3 linked regions of the Arabidopsis thaliana genome follow. The protein of the gene in region 2 interacts with the protein of the main gene of each other region in a pairwise test. Each region holds a gene or a part of one and is shown on either strand. Other genes may lie near its edges.

What was found. The genes of interacting proteins can lie anywhere in the genome.
Region 1: the proteins of PHOT1 (region 2) and ARFA1E interact in a two-hybrid assay, tested with the Arabidopsis thaliana proteins (one study listed by BioGRID).
Region 3: the proteins of PHOT1 (region 2) and ARFB1B interact in a two-hybrid assay, tested with the Arabidopsis thaliana proteins (one study listed by BioGRID).

What each region holds. Positions count from the first base shown.
Region 1 is NC_003074.8:23,049,684-23,054,335, forward strand, and holds ARFA1E (ADP-ribosylation factor A1E), read left to right. Parts: upstream 1-1,860; 5' UTR 1,861-2,066; intron 2,067-2,594; 5' UTR 2,595-2,603; coding exon 2,604-2,751; intron 2,752-3,061; coding exon 3,062-3,132; intron 3,133-3,269; coding exon 3,270-3,389; intron 3,390-3,473; coding exon 3,474-3,592; intron 3,593-3,691; coding exon 3,692-3,773; intron 3,774-3,856; coding exon 3,857-3,862; 3' UTR 3,863-3,903; exon of another isoform or gene 3,904-3,987; 3' UTR 3,988-4,134; downstream 4,135-4,652. Other genes in the region: AT3G62280 (GDSL-like Lipase/Acylhydrolase superfamily protein), read right to left, coding at 1-27, 111-381, 647-810, 886-1,068, 1,181-1,433; DUF7 (agenet domain protein (DOMAIN OF UNKNOWN FUNCTION 724 7)), read left to right, coding at 4,564-4,652.
Region 2 is NC_003074.8:16,814,798-16,822,750, reverse strand, and holds the start of PHOT1 (phototropin 1), read right to left. Parts: upstream 6,031-7,953; 5' UTR 5,836-6,030; intron 4,405-5,835; exon of another isoform or gene 4,208-4,404; 5' UTR 4,195-4,207; coding exon 3,494-4,194; intron 2,955-3,493; coding exon 2,772-2,954; intron 2,499-2,771; coding exon 2,407-2,498; intron 2,312-2,406; coding exon 2,044-2,311; intron 1,949-2,043; coding exon 1,726-1,948; intron 1,629-1,725; coding exon 1,558-1,628; intron 1,470-1,557; coding exon 1,363-1,469; intron 1,280-1,362; coding exon 1,230-1,279; intron 1,107-1,229; coding exon 1,002-1,106; intron 919-1,001; coding exon 859-918; intron 763-858; coding exon 596-762; intron 503-595; coding exon 418-502; intron 332-417; coding exon 251-331; intron 147-250; coding exon 43-146; intron 1-42. UniProt on the Arabidopsis thaliana protein: Protein kinase that acts as a blue light (BL) photoreceptor in a signal-transduction pathway for photo-induced movements.
Region 3 is NC_003076.8:5,609,149-5,613,592, reverse strand, and holds ARFB1B (ADP-ribosylation factor B1B), read right to left. Parts: upstream 2,853-4,444; 5' UTR 2,538-2,852; coding exon 2,481-2,537; intron 2,197-2,480; coding exon 2,106-2,196; intron 1,749-2,105; coding exon 1,633-1,748; intron 1,436-1,632; coding exon 1,376-1,435; intron 1,297-1,375; coding exon 1,231-1,296; intron 1,143-1,230; coding exon 954-1,142; 3' UTR 945-953; exon of another isoform or gene 840-944; 3' UTR 519-839; downstream 1-518. Other genes in the region: AT5G17070 (serine/threonine-protein phosphatase 4 regulatory subunit-like protein), read left to right, coding at 6-79; UGT78D2 (UDP-glucosyl transferase 78D2), read left to right, coding at 4,201-4,444.

The DNA.
Region 1 (4,652 bases), 6.2 Mb from region 2:
AACAAGCCATCAACGGGTCCACAAATCCTGAAACCTCATAAACCAAATAAACCAATCAAAACCGGTTAACTAATTAAAATAGGACTTTTATAGATGCGGTCGATACGCACCGTATAGTTTGAAATCGGCGGAGAGTTTATATTTGATGGAGTAAATATCAACGTAGACGAGAGTGGCGTCTTTGAATTGGGATCTCAGTTCGTTGCAGAGACTAAGGAGTCCTTTGTTGAAGGCTTTGGCGACTTCATTGTGAACCCGGAAACAACCAATCGGGTCAAGATCCGAATCGTTATGCAGGTGAATCGCCAATTCTTTTGGTGCACAGCCCAATGGGCCTGTGTTGTGTACCCAAAACTTTCTCCCTCCGTATAAATATACAGTCTTCAGTACAACATACCAAATCACAAATCAGCCGTATTAGGTATGGTTTAATAGTCAACTAGAAAGTTTTAAACAATTGCCCATTTGCCCCAAGAAAGTTGGAAAATCAAATATGGGTAGAGTTTTTTAGTTTTACTTAAATAATGTCCCTGAAGTTTTTAGTTACCGATTTACCACCCTAATAAGTTTATGAAAAAATAAGTTTTGGGGCTAACAGTTTACGTATATGTAAAAATAAAAAAAAATTGTGGAAGAAATGAAGTACCTGTATGGCTTTCTTTATCTCAAGAAGCATGGAAGGAATTTTTTCGACAACGGGTGCATAGGTTAAATTCGAATCATATAGAGCAAGTAAAAGATCGTTTTGTCCAATATCGATCATGTACAACGCGTTTCTAAATCCATTATCATCAATAAGGTCTCTTCTACCTATCAACAAGGAAACATATTTTGTAAGTAATTAAGACGAGATATGTATAAATTGTTTGGGACAAAAGTAATTACCGGAAGAGATAAGTTCTTGAGAACGGTTTTTGAAATGGACGAATTGACGAATTTGAATGGCAAGAGGGAAGGAAAAGATCGGAAGAGCGGTGGCGCCCGAGACTGCGAAATTGACTCCTCTTTTGAAATTTGGTGAAAGTGAATCCAAATATGGACTCAAATATGTCATCTTTAAATGTTCACCTGATCATATATCAAAAGGTTTAATCAAATATATAACATTACATGTACATAAAACATATATTTAAAGAATTGAAACTCTTGTTGAAAAAAAAGAGAAAGAATTGGGACTCACAGTAGAAGTCAACGATGAGTCGACCGTCACCGAGACGACCAGTGCCTCTATGGAAGAAGGTAATGCCATGAGGGAGTCCGATAGGAAGTCCAACTCCAGCAAGAACTCCTCCGGTGTCGGAGTTAGAGTCGCCGAAGTTTATCAATATAGGTTTCTTGTTTGACTTGTAACTAGTTTCAGAGTTAGAGCAAACCAAAAGAGAGAGACATAAAACTAAGAAGAAGCATTGTAGAGAGGAAACAGTGTAATCCATTTCTTTTGAATTCTTGCTACTCAGATAATTTTAATCAAGATTCACGATCTGAAGCTTTTACATATAGTAATGTCTTTGGCTTAGAAAGTCAAATTTTTTGAATGTAAGTCAATAAGTACTATTGCAAGTCGCATTATATAAATCTCTAAATAATCTCAAAGTAAAAGCAATCAATCAACCTATAGATCCGATCGGCCATGTTCTATAAGGATTGTCAGAACTTGTTGAGCTATTAAAATACTCCGTACAACTTATTTGATTAATATGGGCCAAATCCGAAAATAAATGGACCTTATCGAATATTTTGTTCGAAGTCCAGGCCCACTAATCGAGTGCGAAAAAACAAAAACAAATGCGGTGAGCGTGGATCGAACACGCGACCTTCAGATCTTCAGTCTGACGCTCTCCCAACTGAGCTATCCCCGCTACTTGTTATCGAAGCTAAAATAATAAAATAAATACAAATATTTGTAAAAGCGAGAATTTGTGATTTTTTTTGGCAATAAGTAGAGAATAGTTGTGTTCCACGATTCCTCCTCTCACGTTCGAAGACCATTTCTTGTTCTTTGGACGACCATCGGCGACAGTGTTAAGTCTAGAGTCTTCTTCTTCTTCGGCGTAGTTTTTTCCCCGGTAAGTCTCCGTTCATCGCCGAATCTGTATCCCTCTTTCTCTTTTTGTTTACTTGATCGTCTCTTTCGATTATGTATATCGCGATCGGAGTCCGTCATCTCCAGATCTGTGTGTATGCGCTTAATTTCGTTATGGATGTGACATGATTTCTTGTGATTCGTTTCCTTAGGGTTGATAGATCTGTATCCTGCATGATCGTTATAGATAGTGATCTAGATTTGTCTTTTTTCAGATCGAAATTTAGATCTCTTATTGTTAATCATGTTGATTTTATTGAAACTTGCTCATACGAATGAGATCCGAGAGCATTTGGAAACATAGGATTGCTTTGCGTTGTAATTGTTTTCTCAAGTGATGGATATTGAATCTATGTGATTGATGCAAAATGAGTTCCAGAGAATTTATAATCCTAGGATTGCATGATAACTTCTTTGCTTTGTGATTGTTTTCTAAAGTATTTATTCCATATGAATGCTGCAATTGAGTATGCGTTTAGACTGAAGGTGTTATTTGAAAACTCTGAAACAGGCTTGAAAAATGGGTCTATCCTTCGGAAAGTTGTTCAGCAAGCTCTTTGCAAAGAAAGAGATGCGTATCCTCATGGTGGGTCTCGATGCAGCTGGTAAGACTACGATCTTGTACAAGCTCAAGCTTGGAGAGATCGTGACTACGATTCCAACCATTGGTGAGTTTCTAACTTTGCATACTCTTTCTTTCATCTAATTATTATTCATCTCTAAACTTAGTATGTGAAATTGACACATTGTTATGCAATCATCTCAAGGGCTTAGGTTGAATTTTTCGTATCATGGTTGGATTCCTAGATTAGATTGGAACTTGAATATATAGTTGCAAGTTTTTTCATTTGGTTTGCATGCGGTGTACTTCTACTTGCTCAAGGGCATTCATCTTTGATTCATGGTTTGTGTATGATTCATAGAATGAGTGCTTGAATTTTTTAGATCTGTCGTATTGACAATACCTGTTCTTGCTAGGTTTCAATGTGGAGACTGTGGAATACAAGAACATTAGCTTTACCGTGTGGGATGTCGGGGGTCAAGACAAGGTATTGTGATTACAGTCCTTTACCAGCATTCGACAATTACTATAGCTAAATCCTTGATTCTCCATGAGCTGTCCTATTTTACTGAATGGCACTTTCACTATTCCAATATAACCTTTTTTGTTTGCTTGCTCATCCAGATTCGTCCATTGTGGAGGCACTACTTCCAGAACACTCAGGGACTTATCTTTGTGGTGGACAGCAATGATCGTGACCGTGTTGTGGAAGCCAGAGATGAGCTTCACAGAATGTTGAACGAAGTAAAACTCAAACAAAAATCTCCTTCTCTAATGTTACATTATGAAGCAGTTGGCATCATTTTGTTTCCTTTTTGACTGTTGCAGGATGAGTTGAGAGATGCTGTGCTTCTCGTTTTTGCTAACAAGCAAGATCTTCCAAATGCGATGAACGCCGCTGAGATAACCGATAAGCTTGGACTTCACTCTCTCCGTCAACGACACTGGTGAGCCAAAGAAAACCAAACCAAATCTCTTTATTTACCAGATACCTATATCGTAACATGAAAAGCTGATGTAAATCGTTGGTGGGGTTTGTTGAACAGGTACATACAGAGCACATGTGCTACCTCCGGAGAAGGGCTTTATGAGGGACTTGACTGGCTCTCTAACAACATCGCAAACAAGGTATACAACTTTACAATTTTTGAAATCGTATTAGTAAGAAATTGATTGTTAAAGACTTACTCAAATGTGTGATTAACTTGCAGGCTTAGGAGAACAACGTGTGGTTTGGTTTTTAATCGAGGAGAGTCTTGTCTTCTTCCTTCTATCTTTTGTTCTTTCGTCTCAAACTCTTATCATTTCATACTCTTTGTTCTTCGCTCTAATAATTTACAAGTTTTTTTTTTTGTTGCTTTTATCCTATAATTCAGACTCTTATAAAATGGGGCCCAATTTCGGCGGATATTCCAATTTTTTTTTTTTTTTTGCCGGCATCCAATTTCTTTAGGCTTCTGCATTTACCGAATATATTTCTTTGAGATGGCCCAAATTCGTGAGATGAACTTGAAAAATGTTGGAACAGAATCCAAACAGTATTCAAACGGTATAACTAAGAGAAATCAAAATCAACGTATTTTGATTCCTATATGTCATCAAGTATACTAATAAAAAAAAAAACTGAATTTAGAACTAATCCGCAAATCTGATTGGATGGGGGCAGCACCAGTACAAAGAGCTACAGTTCCCGATTTAATCATAATTAAATACGTTGTAAGAAAAATGAAGAAGAAGTTAATTAATAGTAGATCTCCACTACACTTTTAACAATTACATACACTCAAAATCTTAGCGGCATTTTTTCTAAAGGTTTCCCAAAGAAGGAGAGCTCACTTTATCTTTCGTCTCTCTTCTTAGGTCTAGGGTTCTGGTGGAGAAGATTGTGGTTGTTTCTTAGGGTTTTCTGAGAGAAAGCATGTTGTTAACTACGGGAAGAAAGGAGAAACTCTCTGTTTCTAAAGGTTCTGAAATTGAAATCTCGTCTCAAGAGTATGAGTATGGTAG
Region 2 (7,953 bases):
TGAAGAAATCTTGAGACTTTTTCGAGCGAGGAACACTTGTACCTTACAGCATCTTCTTTGAGAACCTTCCTAGGTTGTCGATCTAGGAGCATGAAGAGTTCTCCTCCTGGATAGTAATCTGTTATAAGACATATATGTGTTTTTGTCTGCAGAATAAAACATGATCCATTAGTAACCAAAGACCAAAGAGACACGCATATATATATATATATATATATATATATATATATGTGTAAACAGAGGTTTTGACCTGAAAAGAAGCGTAGAGTGCAGGAAGAAAAGGATGGTCAAGCAAATCTAGGATCTCTCTCTCAGCTCTAGCTCTATGTACCTGCAAAAAATTATATCAGTGGCTACAAAACTTACAAATAAAAAGCGAAACTCAAGATTCCTTGAAGTGCAAGTTACTGTAATTACTTTGTTTCGGTTAAGCATAACAGCCTTGTCCATTGCTTTCATTGCAAACAACTGATCTGTTCCAACGAGTTCCACTAGATGCACACTGATAAAACACAAATGGGATATTATAAGATTAATGAAGGAAATGTTCTTTTTTTTTGTAAGCTATTTCATTAGATTAGATAGAGTTTCAGACCTTCCTGTGTCACCAGAACCCAAAGGTTTCACCGGTTTGAAATGCTTCAAACCAATCGGTTCACCACTTTCCAACACCTTTTGGATAGCTATCCATGGTGGTGAATCTTTCCTGTGAGGCTTACAATGAACAACCTTTGAGTGGTTTGCCCATAAATCCTCTGGTGTCTTCAGAAACAAGACACAATAAAACATTCTGTCAGATATATTCTAATAAACCTTAATCTAAAATGATCATATTCAGATCCTTAGACAATCACTTACCATGTTGGCATCAGGAAGTTCTCGAACCGCTTCATCGATATTCACAGCTGTTTTTTTCACCTAAAGAATATAGATTAAGGTTTAATACTTGATTTTCTATCAAACGAATACTAAATCAAGATCAATAGTTTAGGATTCCAGACCAGGTCTTCTCCCTCTTTCACTGCGGTTTCTTCAATGACATTGCGAACTGGTTCTACGTGCTTGCTCCCGTCTAGTTGAACTCCAATAAAGTATTGTACTTCTCCCTGTCAACAACATATCAAAGAAAGAATATAGACATCTTCAGTTTTAAATTCATAAACCAAAAGAAATTGAGGATTAGTTTGAAGGTGCCGTATAATGCAAGATATCTATGTAAACCATTATACCTTCTGATCACGCATAGGTTGCAAGTGGAAAATGTTCCAGAACTTCTTTCCTGCCACAGAGAATATAATGTAAATTTAAAACTTTATACAATGATCGACAGATTAATCTAAGAATATCGAAAAAATCGAGTACCGCTCTTGGTGTAGTTGATGAGCTGAACTGTCACTTCGGTTTGGTTATCAATAGCATTTCGAATCTTCTTCACTGTGGTTAGATCAGTCTCTGGACCTTGTAGAAACCTAAAACCATGAAACAAAATTTATAAACACATGCTCTATGCTCAAAAATATTTTCAAAAGACATTTTGAGATCACATTCATGTAATACCTGCAATTTCTTCCAAGAATTTCTTCACGGCTATATTCCGTGAGCTCCAAGAAACTATCAGATGCAAAAATCTAGAAACATAGGACAAAGCAAACAATACGTTTTCAGACCAATCGAAATGAAACATAACAAAAAAAGTTTCCATTTTTCTAAAACATTTGTTCTTACAATGGGATTATCGGGAAGCCTAGGATCAGTGATGACGAAATTCTTCTCGATACGTTCGAGTGTAGTAGCTAGATCAATACCCTTTCTCATTTCCTTTTGTCTCACTTTATCATCCACACTCTCAGGTCTCTCGTCCCTATCACTAATCTCATCGTCTTCTTCTCCATACTCTATAAATCCATCGTCTATAGATTCATCCAAAGATTCGCTCTTCTTCTTGATCCTATCACCAGAGTATCACAACAATCATATCAAAGACTAAATCGATTTTTATAAAGTAATTGTCAGGTAAACAAATGATCTAGTAAGGATTATTACCCCATGAAGGAAAGGGAAGATTTTCTAGATTTTTTCTCGGGAATTTCGTTGATTCGCTGCATCGAGTTTCTTCTTCCGCCGCCAGAGTTTCTTCGGCCTGACGGAACAACATTTTCGGACATTCGCCGAGCTGGTTTTTTCGGAAGTTCATCGCTCTCCGATTTTGTCATGAAGGGATGGAGATTCGTCGATTCGCTTAGTGCCCGAGGTCTCTTCACCGCCTCTACTAGCTCTGTCACTGAGTTTGTCGCCATATCTTTTTGGCGGGCTTTTACAAAACAAAATTTGAAAATATTTTTAAGAAAACATAATAAATGGAAAAAAATTTGGAAAAACAAATAGAAAAAGAAAGTATGTAAATACCATCGTATCGAATCAGAGATTCCGGAAGCCCATTGGGCCTCAAAGCCTTTTCTTTGGCCCCTTCAGTGTGCTTGCTCACCTCCACTTGCATTCTGGTCCAAATAAACAAAACATATTGGTATCTTCTGATTTTTCCTCAAAATCATATTTTTTTATCAGATTCTATAATTCTTTTCTTTTTCCTGATTGATTATTCTCTTTTGTTATTCTACAATAGGATCCGTCGGTGATACAAATCTTTGAATTATTGCGGAGAAAGCAACACAAATCACAGGTCCACACTTAGACCCATTAAAAAGGGTGACATTTTGAATGAAAGAAATAAAGGAGAGAAACGAGTAAATAAAAAGGAATAAGGGACTAACCCGATAAATTTGAGGACTTTGCCACTCTCGTCTTTAATGGGAGCAATCGTGAGAAGATTCCAAAAAGAGGTCCCATCTTTCTTGTAATTCAATATACGCCCACAATAATTGTTACCAGCAGCTAATGTCTCTCTTATCTTTGCTAACTCATCTGCATCTGTACCTGATCCTTGTAAAAATCGGCTACAATAAAACAAAAACCCAAATTATGTTCTTTTCTTCTTTCTTTTTGTAAATAAAATTCATTCATTGAACAAAAAATGGTGGAAACTTTTGTAAGAAATTTTTCGAATTTGCAAAGAAATGTTCGATTTAAAAGAAATATTTTAAGTTATCATTAAAAAATAAACTTAGTTTATAAAAGGCTATTAGTTTGGAAAAACAACATAAAAATTAGGTTTATAAAAAGTTTTTAGAAATTTAGTAAGAGTTACTAAATCATTTAGGATAACCATACCTAAAACTTAATCTTTGTAATTTTGGTACACAGTTTCGAAAAGTTCTAAAAAAATAAAATAAAGTTAGGTTTAATTTTTGAAAATTTAGAAAGAATTACTAAGTCATTTAAGATATCTTTATACATTTATAGTAACCATAAACCTAAAAACAAAACTATGATATTTAATTAGAAAAAACTTTGCAATTTTGGTAATTATTACAGAAAACGAAACGTATTTTATATATTAAAAAAATGCTCTAAAATTTTTTGAATAACTTTTTACCAGTTTCTGCCGACGACTTCTTTGGAAGTGTAACCAGTCATATTGAAGAAACCAGCACTTGCATACATAATCGGATAATCAGGTTTTGTAGCATCTGAGACCACAAACGTTTGTTGAAACGTCGACAACGCATCTTTTAGATCTTCCGATACTCTTGGAATCCCACTCCTCCCGCCGGGAACATCTCCGTCCGACATCTCACCGGAGCTCCGGCAAGAGTTTTGCGAGTTTCTCTGCGATGTAGTCTTTTTCCCGTTAGGATCATTCTCAGTTCCACCAGAGTTCCTCACGCCTACTCCTTGTGGCTTTCCCGTCTTTGTATCGGTCTTCAAAACCAATCCCCACTCTGCCGCTCTCTGCTCAGCCGCCACCGCCGACTTCTGTGGTTTCTCGGCGGTGATCGTCTTCTTGGAGATTGTCTCCGGTGATGGGTCTTTCAGAGCCATCCATGAGGTCGTGACAGCGATTTCTTGATCAGACCGAACAGGGTTGGATGGAGCTGGTTCTTGTTGTGGTCGGGGTTGAGGACTGGTGCCACGTGGATCACTCAAGTTTTGCCACGCTGGTGGTTCAGGACGGAACACCGGGTTATCGGGTCGGGTCAGCTGAGTTGACGGGTTGAATACTTCGAGAGAGCCACGAGTGTCTCTAGGTAGAGTCCGAGAAGATGGTTTGGTCGATGGTTTTTCTGTTGGTTCCATCTTTGAGCTCTCTCTATACACGAAACAAAAATTGTGGCCAGAAAATAAGTTTATATATAATTAGTTTAATGGATAGACATAGATACCACACGCATGTGTGTGTATATGAATCGGCAAATAAAAATATTTATTCTCTTAAAGTTAGATACTATAAATATATGGTATAATATTTTATTGATTTCTAAAAATGGACACATGACCAAGTTCTTTTGTGGTAGATGGATGGTTTGATTACTGAAAATGAAAACACTATACAAATATGTGATATGTGAACTAATTAATAACGGTTAGATATGTCATATGTTTAGTCATAAACAGAATGGGTTTGACCATAAAAAAAGAAGGAGAAATAGAAAGGAAAGTTGATTAAAGTTTGAAATATCAGTACAATATATGGAAATGGTAGTATTACTTATATTTTTTTTTGTCATTTAACTTCTTCAAGTAGTATGGTACATATTGGAGTTAACCTCTTTTCATAAAATTAAAAATAACTAACTTGCATTAAATATTTATTAATAAGAGATTATGTCTACAATTTTATACAAAAAAATATAATATTCTAAACAGACAATGTGGTGGTCCATTTCTACACGGATCGAGAGAAATCCACTCTATATCACTTTGGTGCATTTCTACTAAGGCTGACTGGATATGTCGATATGATTTTACTAGATGCTGACCATAAATAATTCATCAATCACTCATTTTTTTTGAATCTTCAAAAATGTTATCATGAATAACAAGAATCTTGCTCTCTTAGGTGTCTTTCTTTTGGGAAATAATAGACTAGACATATCTAACATGATAATGAATACATGTTTTATATGAATGTATATGCATGCAGGTAACATTATTAAATATGGTTCAAAGAGTTATGGTTTATGGGGCCATAGATGAATGAAGATATGAACTGGAAAATACGCCAATTTTGAGAGTGACAATTCCAAATGAAGCGGGGGTAAAATTGAGAAAACGACACAAAGGTGTAAAGTTTCAATGCTTTTTTGAGTTTTTAGTACCACACAACACATGCATCTTCTAAGGGTGGTTTAGTCATTTTGGTATAAAAATGGACAGTTGTTCTATTACAAAAACAGTAGCTGAACCGATTCTGTTCGATCGATCACAGATTTCAACTAAAAATCTTTGTCTTTTTTTCATGTTCTTGTCATTTTATCAATTTCCACATAAATGAACTTTGTAAAATAGTTTATCACTCTATTTATATGAGAACAAATAAAAAGAGTAAAAAATTTCATGGTAAATAGGAAAATCTATTTTTATTTAAAAAAATTGAAATACATATCTTTATGAATTATGATTGGAGAAATTTTAAATCGAATTCAGTTGAGTTCTTGAAATATGCAACTACCATGTGATGTGTGACTTTCACAAAAAAAAGCTGACATTCAAATAATTTATATATATACTAGTTTCAGATCAAGCTAGTAGCTAGAGTGCTAGACGATATAAAATGATATCTACTTCACTATTTATATTTTTACACATACAAATTAAGGCCGAAAATGTGACAAGAACCCTAAAAAGATGAATAACATACAAATTAAAAAAATGAATCGTCCTAAAAATAGCCTAAGAAAGTGAGCAAGACAGTATAAATCGAAGGGAGAAAACTACCTTGCAAGTTAACTTGTGCTGGAAGAAACAGATTATCCTTCGATTTTTCCTTCACTCTCTAGTCGAGAGATAAACTGAGGAATGAGTTTGGGATGAGAAGTTAACTTTCCCGAGGCTTTTTATACAAATAAGGAAATTTTTTGATAAGAAGAGATTCTAGAAAGATTAAAAAACTATTTAGGTTTCATGATTGATTTAGTTCCGTTCTAGCTCCATCACTGGATTATTTGATCTTCCCATGCTTCGAATGTTTTTGATTCCACATGGCTTCTTTTGTTTACTTTCAAAAGATTGTATAGAAACGTAACACTAGTATCGTTTATCTATCTTCTGTATAACTCTGTCTTGATAATTAGATTATAAACCTGAATATACTCTCTTTGTCAAACAAAACCAGACCAAACATAAATATATATTCTGACTATGCTCAATATTCAATTTCTATGGCACTTATTGGAAACGAATGGTTTATATGACTTAACCAACAATTTTATGATGTTGGTTTGACAGTGATTAATCTAGGTTTTGGTATAGGACAAACAGGATTATAAAAGAGAATATTGCACAAAAAAACTTGCTTGTTGTAACTTGTGCGTATAATTGAAGTAAATGATAAATAAAACATTTGAAGAACACATAAGTGTGTGGAGTGATGGTTGTTCTTTTAAAAGTTTCTGTGTGTGTCAGTGACTATAAGTGGGAGTGAGTTGTCATTTGAAAACGCCAAAACCGTTCCCAAATGCAAATGCAGAGACCCAATATTACATAGATGTTCTCTTTCCACTTTTGTAATGGTAGAAATCTCAGTCTTTATGCATTGCAAGATATTTCATGCAAAAACATTAAAGAAGAACATACACTTTTATCCGATTTAGTGATGAAATCGAACATGGAGATCGGTACAGAAATCACAAACAAATTAAAAAGCAATCACATGTCATTGTTATATGCATTTTTGGTTGATTTATCAAAACTTTCTCTCGCTTTTTTTTTGTCAAAACTTTCTCTCTTTAAAATGGTTTTATTAATTCTGTCTCTATTTTGTTTTCCAAAAATCACTCTAATTATTAATTAGCAGATAACTTCCCTATACATTACGATGCATAAACAAAATATATTGCAAGAATATATAGCAGTTGTTAACCCAATCGATTTGGTATGCTATCAAATCATGGGCACAAATACAACCTTAAACTTTGGATAAAAAAATAAAAATCCAACCTTAAACAACCATGCATTTGATCATTTGCATATTCTAAAAAGCAATGTGTAACTAGTTTAACGGTGTAACAAATATAGACTAGCAATGGCATAGCGCCGATACGTCTCAGATTGAATAACTAAATATTTTTTAATTGCATGTAAATATTGTTAAAAAAAAAAACAGTATCATCATTTGTAAAATTTGGTATTAATATAATGACCCCACTACACTCAAATTCAGTAACATTTTTTTCTCTTAAAAGTTATATTATGATCCCGGTAACAAAAATGGATCTGCCACTACAGACTGGTCATCCCAAGCGATCACGATCACTATCAGGCTTGGTTAAAAATATCAGAACAGTTCAGATTCAAACCCTTTTGTCGGAAACCCTATGGACAAAATTTGTGAAGGGTATAATACAAAGAGGAGAGTATGGTAACATTTCATATACAAGTAGGACCAGAACCCATGTGAAGATTGATCAAAGAGAAAAAAAGATCTTAACGGGTTATAATCTTATCCATCATGTGTCCATTGTGGGTTTGAGTGTGTGGTGGGGGCTGAAAATGTTACATCAATCTTCACATATTGGCCGCTTAACTTCTCCCATTTTCTAAATTGACCCCTTTTTCTTCCCTAGACAAATCAAGATTCAAGATGGGACAATGACACTGGTTAGTTTACATCAATCTTCACATATTGGCCGCTTAAATTCTCCCATTTTCTAAATTAACCCCTAGACAAATCAAGATTCAAGATGGGATAATGACACTGGTTAGTAGTTACTATATGCAAGAATATCTACATTAGGAAAATTTAATATTTTCTAATTACCATTGTTTTTCTATCGTCATATATATTGTTTTGGTAAAATATACGATGTTGGTCTACTGATAGTACAAGTAGGAATG
Region 3 (4,444 bases), on a different chromosome or scaffold from region 2:
TGTAGCTGCTGCACAACCATTATCGGATTCAATGGTGGCAGAGGAAGGAGATTCACGGTTGCCTACAACGTGTGCCTAGAGAGTCAAAGTTTGAACATTATCAGCTTTGAAAACTGATCTGGAATATAATGCTTGTTCTAGGATCTTGATCTTGCACTATATTAGTCTTAAGAATATTCTTGTTTTTGTGGAATTTCTGGTTTATCAGTAAAACGCATTTATCCTACTGACCAGCACAAAGAAAGAAGAAGTAAATTCCCTAGATAAAAGAGAAAAATTAAACAACCTAGATAACCTAATAATGGTAATATAACGATGTCAGCATTATGTGTTAATCTTTGTGAGATAAAAATTCTTATCTTCAGCAACGTGTTAATCTTTCTCTAAGCTTAAGCTTTTTCTAATTTCTAAGAGAGTTTGCAACATACTGTTTTCAACTGGGATTTTTGGGTAGATTCTTAACTGAATATTCTGCATAACCTATAAAATCACCAAAAGGCCAAAATGCCAAATATGTTGAGAAAAAGAAGAAGGGAAAACTTATAATTGTTATAAAAAAATATATCATGATTTCGAAGGAATGTATATACATCTACCAAAGTCTTAATCGGACAAAGATGACCCCAAAGAGAAGGTTTTTCAGATGATACAACTCTTCATCAGCAGAATATACAAAGAAGCTTTCATGGCAGCATGATCAAAATTCAAAAATAGTCTAATGGAGTCTAATATTGCCACAATGAGAAGATCATTCTTTCCTTAACAAAAAAAGTCTTCAGAGATTCTGATTTCGTGATAAAGCCAAGAAGAAGACACTGGCCATTGATATCAAAGTATACCTGCAAGGAGAAATGACGTTTTACAAGATCCTGATCACGAGACTGAGAGTAATTGTACTGAACTACTGGTTATAGCTCGCTGGTGTTTTCAGGTCTTTATATTACCTGGAAGATTTAAAACGAGTGGCCAACCGATGTGAATCCAGCGGCTTTAACATCCTTAAGAGTAGATGATAACCAGTCCAAGCCTTCATAAAGCCCGTCTCCACGAAGAGCACAAGTACCTTGTATGTGCCATTTCCTGTTCTTGAGATCAAATAAGCCTAACCCTTCACATACTTCTCTCGGTGACATGGCTCCTCTCTAATATCCAGCAGAGTAAAGAAGTGAATTGAGGAATTATAAGCACAGACGAGAAACAAACAAAAACCAAAAGAAAATATCGAATTACCATGTCCTGTTTGTTTGCAAACACCAGAATGATACTGTTTAGCATGAATGGGTCTTTTATGATCTCCTGTGGCAATCCGAGAGCAGGGTAAGGTATAATCCAGAGAGTTTACGAAAAGTCTTTTGCAAGTTCTGAGGTATTATACCTGAAATTCTTGCTTTGCTTTCCCGATCCTCTCTCGATCTAAGGAATCCACCACGTATATCTGCAAGAGCATCATAGAGTAGTCTTATACCATGGTCGATAAAGATGGAAAAAGATCTAAAGATTGGCCAAGCAACATATGATACTGCAACATCATAACCAAATATAGGATAACATATGCCAACATAGAGATGGAAAAACCTTGAAAGTTAAGTATCTGACTGAAAGCAAAAATCGAAAAAAAAACTATATACGTACAAGTCCATCAGTATTATTGAAGTAATGCCTCCAAAGAGGTCTCAGTTTCTCTTGGCCACCAACATCCCAAACTGTGAACATCACATTCTTGTACTGAACTTTCTCAACATTGAATCCTGAGTAACATAAGTTTAAATTGTCAGCAGACATAATCCAAACAACCAAAAGGAAAATGACAGAACAATAATCATAGATAAAAGTATAATGTCACAAGAACCATGTATCATAACTGAATGACACAAGAGAAATTCACAGACACAACTTATGACTTCAGAAGTACAAGGCATCACAAAAGTTGGCAGAATATCATGAGATTCAGCTGAAGGAGAAGATAGATGTTCCGAGTATCTACAATTCTGACAGCATTCACCAAAGATCTATCCAAATCTTGTTCCAAAACAAGAAATGAATCCAACTACATAGCTTCTGAGATCAAGAATAATCACAGCTCAAAAAACAACCAGAAAGCTTACCAATGGTGGGAACAGTAGACAAAACTTCTCCAATATGAAGCTTGTAGAGAATAGTTGTTTTTCCAGCAGCATCCAGCCCCAGCATAACGACCTGTCATTAATCACAAAATTGGAAAAAAAAAAGAGAGATTCAAAAATCATTTCTTCAATTCTGATTCATCATGCCACAGCTAACAACAAATCTATGATTCGTAATAGAGAAGAATCCAGAAAACACAAGCTTGAGTTATAAAGTCTTTTCCAAATCCAAAATTCCGAAACATCAAAGGTCAGACATGGGCGATAAAAGCTATGACTAAAACCAAAACAAATCAAAGATGACAAAATTACACGAGATCCCATCCAGATAAATAGCACGAGAGATGATGAGATTACCCTCATTTCTTGATTGCCGAAGAAAGTATCGAATAGCTTACGAAAAGCTTGACCCATCGCTCCCAAACCCAAAAAAAAAAACTCTTCAAAAATTAGTTTTGTTTTATCTTATCGAGCTAGACAGAAAAAGCAATCGTAGAGAAAATCAGACGACGACGAGGAACGATCGATTTGGAGGAGGAGACAAAGGAGACGGTGAATAGATTTCAGAGAAATTGAAGGGAAATAATTTTACGAGTTTCGGTCCAAAGGATTTCAGGAGCAAGTCTTCTTCAACGGAATATTCATATTCCTTTCAAATTATTTTACTTCCACCATTCTCTCATTTTCTCAAATATATAAATTTAATAATACTATCGCAAAATAGTGAATATTTTTTTCTAGGCTTTGCAGCCCAATTTACAAATAATGGGTCGGATTGGTTTCTAACTTTTTATTTTGGGTTGGCAGGCTCGGTTTAACAATAGCCACATATATCACCTACCAAACGAAACGAATTCAGTGAGTATTGAGTCAAAAATCAGAAGTAATAACAATTTTAATATCTTAGGGGGTAAATTGAAAGTGAAATTTTAAGAGATTTGTGTAAAATTTATAAATCTAATGTTATTCAAACATGGATTTTAAAAAGTCTCATGAAATTCAGTGTTATTGAACTAATGATTTCAAAATCCATCTTAAAATATACTTTTATTGATAAACAATTTGTGGATTTGAATTTAAGGTGTGCATAATATCTGAATTTGAACACCCAATCGTTAGTAATAATTTGAACCAGTATCCGAATGTATATCCTAACATACCTACAATTTAAGTACATAGTAATAAATTATTATTAGCATTTATATTTATAATAATTTTAGTGTCAAAATATTAGGATTTTAAAATATTTTAGATATTTTTGGGTATTTAATCTATTTTTGAATAAATTTGGGTAAAAATGTTCAAAATTTTTAGATGTTTTGTATACTTTCTAGGAGTTTAGATAGATTCGTTTATAAAAAAGTTGATTTTTGGGAACTTCGGATAATCCAAATTCGAAATATTCTGACCCAACCCACAATATAGAATTATCCGAATAGATTTTATACCTCTAAATTTGAAAACCTAAAAATCTAAAATATTCGATCTGAATTCAAACGGATACTCTAACTCCCACCCTTTTTGCTAGTGTTATAATTTCCTATTTTTTCAACGGATGATCATAAAAAACAAAAGTCTACTACTTTGTTGACGGGTAAAATAGATTATTTTCTTTTATTTTTTCCCTCTAAAGTCTTAAAATAAATCATTCAACCAATCAAATCTTATGACAAATCAATAATTTTTATTTTTTTGGTTGAAAAAATAATCTAATAATTGCTTTATTAAGATATCATGTACAAAGTACAGATACAAATACAATCCTAAAAATGTCCTTTCTATAAGAAGAAAATTACATAAAAAAACAAAAACATTTTCTCTGAAAAAAAAGAAAATATCAAAAAACGGATTTTGTTATTAAATTTGTCGTTCATAAAAAAATTTGATTAAAAAAGTTGTTTACTTGTTATATAAAGAAAGAGAAGAGATCGGTACCAACCACGAAACACGAGCTTTACACTTGCTCGGTGGTTCATTTACGACCACACTCTCTCTTCTCTTTAGCCCTCTCCTCTCTATTTATTCTCCAACAAACTCTCTCTTCTCTTTTCAAGTCTTCTTCTTCATTACTCGCACCATGACCAAACCCTCCGACCCAACCAGAGACTCCCACGTGGCAGTTCTCGCTTTTCCTTTCGGCACTCATGCAGCTCCTCTCCTCACCGTCACGCGCCGCCTCGCCTCCGCCTCTCCTTCCACCGTCTTCTCTTTCTTCAACACCGCACAATCCAACTCTTCGTTATTTTCCTCCGGTGACGAAGCAGATCGTCCGGCGAACATCAGAGTATACGATATTGCCGACGGTGTTCCGGAGGGATACG